Bombyx mori: one gene and its partner. The protein of the gene in region 1 purifies or fractionates together with the protein of each later gene. This does not show direct contact. Links are inferred from orthologs where the notes say so. Each region holds a gene or a part of one and is shown in the gene's direction. Other genes may lie near its edges. The genes, in order: Brf and uncharacterized protein LOC101741862.

Region 1 (3,834 bases):
ACAAGATTTTGATATCATTTTTGTGATGATTGAGTCTAAAAACTCATGCATGAGTAATCTGTCTAAATAGAGAGAACGAAACGTCATGTCATGGCTTTAATACGGAAATGATGCGAACAATTGTTGATTTACTATAAGGCCCTTCGTACACAAGGCTACGCAAATCTTCGATACTCAACGATTTTAGTCTCCAAGCGACTACCGCCATACAAATCCATTGAGGTTCGTACACGAGTCGCGTCGCCGACATTCGTCCCGCGACTCGCGTCGTGTCAATCGCGCGCTACCTGCATGTCGTGATCTTCGCTACATAAGTCTCGGCGATTTCCAAGATGGCGGAGCAATTTTTTAATATTAAATTTGTGTCTGATATGGAAAAATATCCTTGTTTATATGTATAATTATAAATTAAAAGAATATTAAAAAAAGGAAATAACAGAAAAAGCTTTTCGTAGCCGTGAGAAAGGCCGTTAATATAACAGATTGGTATTTTTATAGTTTTCAAAATAGTCAGTACATAGTTTTGTAAAGAAAAAACACTTTTAGGCAGTATATTCTTTTTATTAAGCTTTTGTTTTAGGTATTTACACGAATTTTGTGTACATTTTATTATGATAGCCGATGTTGTAAGCCAGATTGCCGACGTTGTTGTTGTGATCTAGGATCGTTATCTAGCGTACCAGATATCCGTATCCACTAAACTATAAACAATACAACAAGTAATATCTGATGTTAAATTAATGGTATAATGACTAAATAGGCAACTCGCGTCTTGCGATTCATTGTCGTGTGTACGGACCGTGCGCTACTCGATACTCGCGACTTGATACTAATGTCGTTTACAACATTAGTATCGAAGATTTGCGTAGCCTTGTGTACGAAGAGCCAAAATCATAATTCCGGTCCTGTACAAAACATTTCTGTAGTGAAATTAATTGTAAAAAATAAGAAAACTATTTTGATTCTTATTATTCTGATTATTTTGATTCTGCAACATGCAACTTTGCTAGACGACTTCTGGTCATTCTCCTTTGGTGCATAACCGGCCTATCCATAGTTTCACCCATAGATAACAGATGGCTTTGTAAACATTATTTTTGCGCGTATTGTTTTTTTTGCCTACTCAAATTCATGAAAACTTAAACCTCATTACTCCACAAGAACTATGGTAAGCTTAGGCCACTTCTACGCTGACGGCCTCAAATATAAAACCAGTTGACAAACAGTAGGAGAGAACGGTACTTTACAGTTAAAAGCCTTTGCTTCTATGGTATTTGATCAGTGACGCGCTACCAAGCTCTGTGGAAACGTTTTGCCGCTAATTATATTTTCTGAGCGTACCTGCGGAAATTTGTTTACAATACAAATAATCCATCAAGGCGGGACAGGCGGAAAGACGTAAACAAACACACTCACACACTCAAACACAAGGAAATTAAAACATATTGAATAGCGTTGCCACTACGACGATCGGTCTCATGTCTTCCGCTGTCTTCATTCGAAGGTCACGTTAAATTTGATATTCGAATTTATTGAATAAACTGTTTATAGCGGTATAGCGTTTTTGAGCGACTGTCTCTTAAAGGACTGCAATGTTTTTAGAGTTCATGTCTTTGCATATACATATTTACTATTATTATACATATGTACATGTACAGTGGTGGTCATATAATTGGAAACACTGATAGATATGTTTTTTACAAACATTTGTACGTTAAAGTTATACTTTCTTTATTCATAAGAAGTGTCTATACAGTTCTATACTAAGTGTTTCTGTTCTATATCTGTATGTAGGTACATTTAACTTTTCAATGAGTATACAGGTTACTGGTGGTAGGACCTCTTGTGAGTCCGCACGGGTAGGTACCACCGCCCCGCCTATTTCTTCCGTGAAGCAGTAATACGTTTCGGTTTGAAGGGTGGGGCAGCCGTTGTAACTATACTGAGACCTTAGAACTTATATCTCAAGGTGTGTGGCGCATTTACGTTGTAAATGTCTATGGGTTCCAGTAACCACTTAACACCAGATAACAAGAAAAAAAAAGAAAAAAAAAAAGGTTTGGATGTATCGTTTATTGACACAATCCATATCCAATCGAAATACAAGCAAGGCAACAGTGTTTTTTTTTGTTTAATATTTAAATTATTAAGAATTTAAAAAGGTAGACATTACGAGCGTGCTTTGAAAAGCACTTATAATAATGTCGTCGTTTCTTATACTATAACAAATTAAGAATTATTTGCATTGTGCATATTTTCCTTCTCATTTGCTCTAATCTGTTTTTGATTACTTATCGAATGGTAAACCGTCGACGTCGCCCAAAGTACGTCATTACGGATCCTCCTGATCCATTAACGGTGCTCTTAGGCACCACAAGCACCGGTCACCGTCCTCGTCGAACGCATCGCTTGCGACGAAGGGCTCGACGAGCGAATTAGCCCATAGACACAGCCCACTGAGTTTCTTGCCGGATCTTCTCAGTGGGTCGCGTTTCCGATCCGGTGGTAGATTCTGCAAAGCACTGCTCTTGCTAGGGTCAGTGTTAGCAACTCTCCGGTTTGAGCTCCGTGAGCTCACCTACAAACGTTAGGGTGAAGCTGAAATAGCCTCTCAAGGCTATCAGCATAGGTAGGAGAGAAAAAAAAGATTACTAATGACGATTCAGTTCTTATGTCACGCGGAGCCCGTAAATGTAGGCTAATACGTATGGGTACCAATAGCGAGATATTTCCTATCCACCGCCAAGCAATCATGCGTTCCGTTTTGGTGGGTAAACCAATAAGCAATAAAAATAAAGAGGCACACACACTCGTTAAGTGTGGTTACAGTAAGGTCTTTCACCTGATCAGTCCAGCGCATGGGGATTCGTCCACGAGATCTCTTACCATTGACGAGAAGAAGAGAGAACATCGAGAAACTTGTTGCTCAGGGTAGGCCCTAGTTTCTTGATAGACATGAATAATAGCGACATCAAATTGTAAATTTCTTTTACAGCATTACTCATAGCAGCTCGACTGCACGAATTCTCACGCACCCCGTCCGATATCGTCCGTATAGTCAAAGTTCACGAGTCAACACTCCGCAAACGCATGTTCGAATTCGGAGACACCCCATCCAGCGCCCTGACCCTCGAAGAGTTCATGACCGTCGACCTAGAGGAGGAACAGGACCCACCGGCGTTCAGGGCGGCGCGGAAACGTGATAAAGAGAGGCTGCAAAAGGTAAACAAGCTAATTTTCGTAGCTGTTCGAGAAGGTTCCATTGGTAGTTAAGAGGTTAATGGAAACCACGAGAATGATGCCATCCACTTTGAAACAGGAAACCGCGCTTTCAATTTGTACAGGGGCTGTTCTACTGTTCAACCAGGAACGCATAACTGCTTTTCTACAGCAATAGATAGGGCGGTGGTGAATGGTTACCAGCTAGACCTAACCTGGTGTGTCATCAAAATATAAACTATTCTTCTTCAGCTAATGGAAGAAGAGGACGGAGAGAAGGAACTGACGGAATTGCAGAAAGAAATAGAAGCTCAAATAGAAAAGGATATGTCAAGAAGACGAAAAGTCTGTTCCGCTTCGTATACTAGTTCACCGGGACCCGTCTCCCAGGGTATGTGAAAACTAATATTTCTGAACAAAGAAATATCCCTATTGGCTAGAAATTAAATCCACATTATTAAATTTCCAAATGACATCAGCAACTGACCTGATACTTCCATGCTAAGTTTAAAGGTTTTATTGCTCCGCCTTATTATTGGTTTAAGGTTTCTATAATTAGTAGGTACATGTTATTCATGTAGATAAAAACGGCATTGCTTGTTTCTATTCCTTGCA
Region 2 (3,834 bases), on another chromosome or scaffold:
CTTTATTATAAATGAATATAGATTGTAATTTTACCTGATTTATGATTGGGCTGAATTAAACATAAAAAAAAATTAATATTAATTGAAGTAAAAATATTTATGAAAAATAAAAAAGTCCATTTCAGTAATGTGTATGAATGAAATAATGTTATTTTATTTATCCCGTTCCATGATGAAAACTCGACTTCGATTGTCATACGACATAGTTACTTAAATAAGATTTGACATGACACTGGGGAGAGGTTATGACCCCTGGGCCGTGCTTTCGTTGATGTAGCGTGCCATATACGCGACATTGCTATAGTCCCCGGCACGTAAATTGGCAAGAGTCGCTAGATGCGCAGAAGTCGTTTTTTAGGTCTCTTTGGTTGTCAAGCGGGACGCGGGGAAAGACGTAGCACCGTTCCGAGCGCGCGATTGGTGCGTCAGTCGACCCTCCCCTCCCGCACCGCGTCCACTGTTCCGTTCGCTCCCGATTACACATGCGCTTACTAAAGTTGTAGGAACCCTTTGTTTATATTGAGTTTTTAGTTACGAGTTGTTATTATTGTTTTAAATTTAGTTTTTGTTACGAGTGTTATTGTTTTAAGTTTGTTTGCAATGCCAGGACCAAATACCAATTACCATATAGTTGATTCAGTCACTGAGCGTTTTATTATTTACGCCAGTGACGACAGCGACTCTTCGTTATGTCGACGATGAGGAGCCAACTCCTTCCACCAGCTCAGGTGCTACCATAAATTTAATCCAAGGGGTAGCACTATTAGAAAATGATAGTAACGACGGCGACACTTCATTTTTAATAATAAGTATGTTTTTTTAAGCAAACTTCTTCTTAACTTTTAATTATATTTTATTTATAACATCTAATACACTTCACGAATTCCTCTCTTTTCTTTAAATTTCTTCTAAACACACAGGCTTAAAAATAAATAAAGCAAATAAAAAATTTAATAAATTAAATTAAATAATATGCGGGCAATAAAAGTGACCATTTTTTTGTTGCAATGTGCACTATGCGCGACATTACCCCCACTACACCAAAACCTTGCCAACTTACGTGCCGCTTAATAAAACGATTAAATTGCAATGAATATAAAATTATACTAAACAAAAAAATTAAAAATGATTTTTTGCCCTTGTAGGCAGACTAGTCTACCCAGATGGTAAGTTGTCACCGAAGCATAGGGACGTCAACAATATCAGATGCAGTACCAAGCCGTTGCCTACTACGTTTAAATATTTAGTAAATGTCCATGTTTAAAGTAAAGTAAAAGCTGCATTAACAACTACAGACGACGCAACGAATCATTTGGAATGCTATTTAAGTTTGTTCGGCTTAACTTCATAAGAATCTTATCAGGATATAACTGTACCGATGCTTTGTTACTTTATGACATAGGTATAGAAATTTTGCTATTGCTAAATGCTATATTAATTTAAAGAAACGAAATGAAGAGACTCCTGTGTGCTTAGTGGGATTTTTTTAACTTCTCAATCGCGTAAAAGTTAGTTCAAATTTATATGGAGTTGGAATAGCGCCCCTAGCGACAAACATAGTTGAGTAGTAAACCTATTTACTGCTGTCATAAATGTGCTTTGTTGCAGGAAAATTTATTTATTGCTATCATAAAATATGCCTGGTTGCAGGAAAATTTGTTTATTTCTGTCGTCAAATGTGTCTTGTTGAACGAACATTAAATGTATAACATAACACAAATTTTATTTTCTGCTGTCCTAAATCTATAAACAGACAAATAATAGAACGTTTTCTGAGGTCTTGGAGAAAATGGTGCAATGCCATATGGTTCATAGCGTGGGTGAACTGCTATAGAAAACTGCGTTAACCGCACTAATTGTTTGAAGTGCCACTACGATTTCAATGGATATCTTTAAGAAAACATCATGCTCATGACATCGTAACGTCATACCGGCCATCTTGAGACTTGGATCAACGTTAAAATTGCATTTCAAAAATAGCTACCCATAAACTGAAACATTATTGCTTTGTGACAAAAATAAGCAAGCAGTTTTAATACGATTTTTTATTTTATTTCATAGATCTGGGAAAATAGTTTGTACTGGGACAAGAAATGAACATGATTCATATGTAGCTGCAAGAAAAATTGCAAGGATTATACAAAAACTCGGATTCCCAGTAAGTTTTACGTACAATAACCCAACCCAACTAAACCCAATAGAAATCATTACTTGCTTGCTACACATTACAACTTAAATAAAATGTAATCAAATTTTAAAGATGATTAAAATTTTTGTTGACACGTTAGCGTGTGGTCAATCTAAAATGATTCATCTATATCACATAGTAAGTTACTGCCCTTATATTATGTTACAGGCAAAATTTTTGAATTTCAAAATACAAAATTTTATTGCTACTGCTGACCTTAGATTTCCAATAAAATTAGAAGCTTTACAGCAGGCACATGGTCAATTCTCCAGTTATGAACCAGAATTATTCCCAGGACTTGTTTACAGAATGGTGAGACCGAGAGTTGTCTTGCTTATTTTTGTTAACGGAAAAATGGTAATTACAGGTAATCATATGTTTAATATACTTATGCACAATGTTTAATATTTTACGCTACGAATAAATAATAAGTCAGGAAATGTAACTGCGCTCTAAAAACGACCCAACAAAAGCAAGCAGGCGGGGCTTAAAGGTCGTGTCCACCGTGACCATTCTTATTTCGATTTATTATTGTGTTGTCAATATTCATGCCAGCGTGTGCTGTGAAGTTGTGCAGGAGCCATACAAGGCTAAAATGTCCAGGGATCACTTTTAACTAGTAAGTAGTAACAAAATTATAATTATATTTAATGATTTGCAAATATGTTATCAAACCGAGATGGTTAACACTATGCAACATGAAGTCAGTAAATTTTTGATTGTATTTGTTTTCTTCTTGGTGAAATATTAAAAAGTACATCGATAAAATATTTTTTATTATAAAATAGGTATATTTATTTTGATAATTTTATAACGATAATGGACTTTGCATAATTTTTTTTCTTTTAGTTTTCCTACCGGCAAAATGCAATTCGGCAAAAAAGTGAATAGCTGCAGTTAAGTTGGAAGGACAAGAATATGACTGGATGCCTGTGAAAACCAGCAGAGTATGCTCTATTCATGCTATCAAAGACGCTGGACGCTAGCCTTCAATTGCCAGAAACAGTGGAGCAAATTTTAGGCTATATAGCCGGCTTTGTAAGCCGAAAACTGCAAGCGAAAATCAACTGTCCAGAATGCTTATCATTGCTACCTGCTAATCAAAATTTGTATTTTCACAATCTGATTAATTTGAAAGATTTCGGTGGACTCTCGTACCCATCTGTGGTGTTGTATAAAATATGCACACGCACAGAAACACTAATAAGACAGATAATGAAATACATGACAAAGGAAAATCTGTCAGTAATATCTACACAGTGTTTTTCTAAAATAATTGACAATGAAGATATTCTACGCTTACTAAAAAACAGTCACCAGACAAATAATGACCATTTCTTTTTTTTTTATAAATTGTGTAATGGTTGAATTTCTCAGAACCCGTTTTTTTTATTGCCTTTCTAGGCAGACGAGCATACGGCCCACCTGATGGTGAGTGGTTACCGTCGCTCATGGACGTCAGCAATGCCAGGAGCAGAACCAAGCCGCTGCCGTCTTCCCTACATTGCGAAAAAATATTCTTTTTTAATGTTTTCTAGGCAAAAACTTACTAAATTAATTATATTTCGAGGGACATAGAGCTTATTACAAAAAAATATATACATTATACAATTATATTGTTTTATTATTAACTTTGTCCGGTCCAC

Evidence for each region.
Region 2: the proteins of Brf (region 1) and uncharacterized protein LOC101741862 purify together in Drosophila melanogaster (affinity purification with mass spectrometry; 3 studies listed by BioGRID, with this or other methods). This does not show direct contact. The link is inferred for Bombyx mori from reciprocal best matches to the Drosophila melanogaster genes Brf and Trf.

Annotation. Positions count from the first base shown.
Region 1 is NC_085131.1:9,033,903-9,037,736, forward strand, and holds part of Brf (TFIIB-related factor), read left to right. Parts: intron 1-2,995; coding exon 2,996-3,222; intron 3,223-3,471; coding exon 3,472-3,610; intron 3,611-3,834.
Region 2 is NC_085118.1:10,665,944-10,669,777, forward strand, and holds part of uncharacterized protein LOC101741862, read left to right. Parts: intron 1-2,061; coding exon 2,062-2,158; intron 2,159-2,356; coding exon 2,357-2,555; intron 2,556-2,607; exon of another isoform or gene 2,608-2,807; intron 2,808-3,037; exon of another isoform or gene 3,038-3,802; intron 3,803-3,834. UniProt on the Drosophila melanogaster protein: Acts as a transcription factor. Binds to the TATA box promoter element which lies close to the position of transcription initiation. May be essential for embryonic development.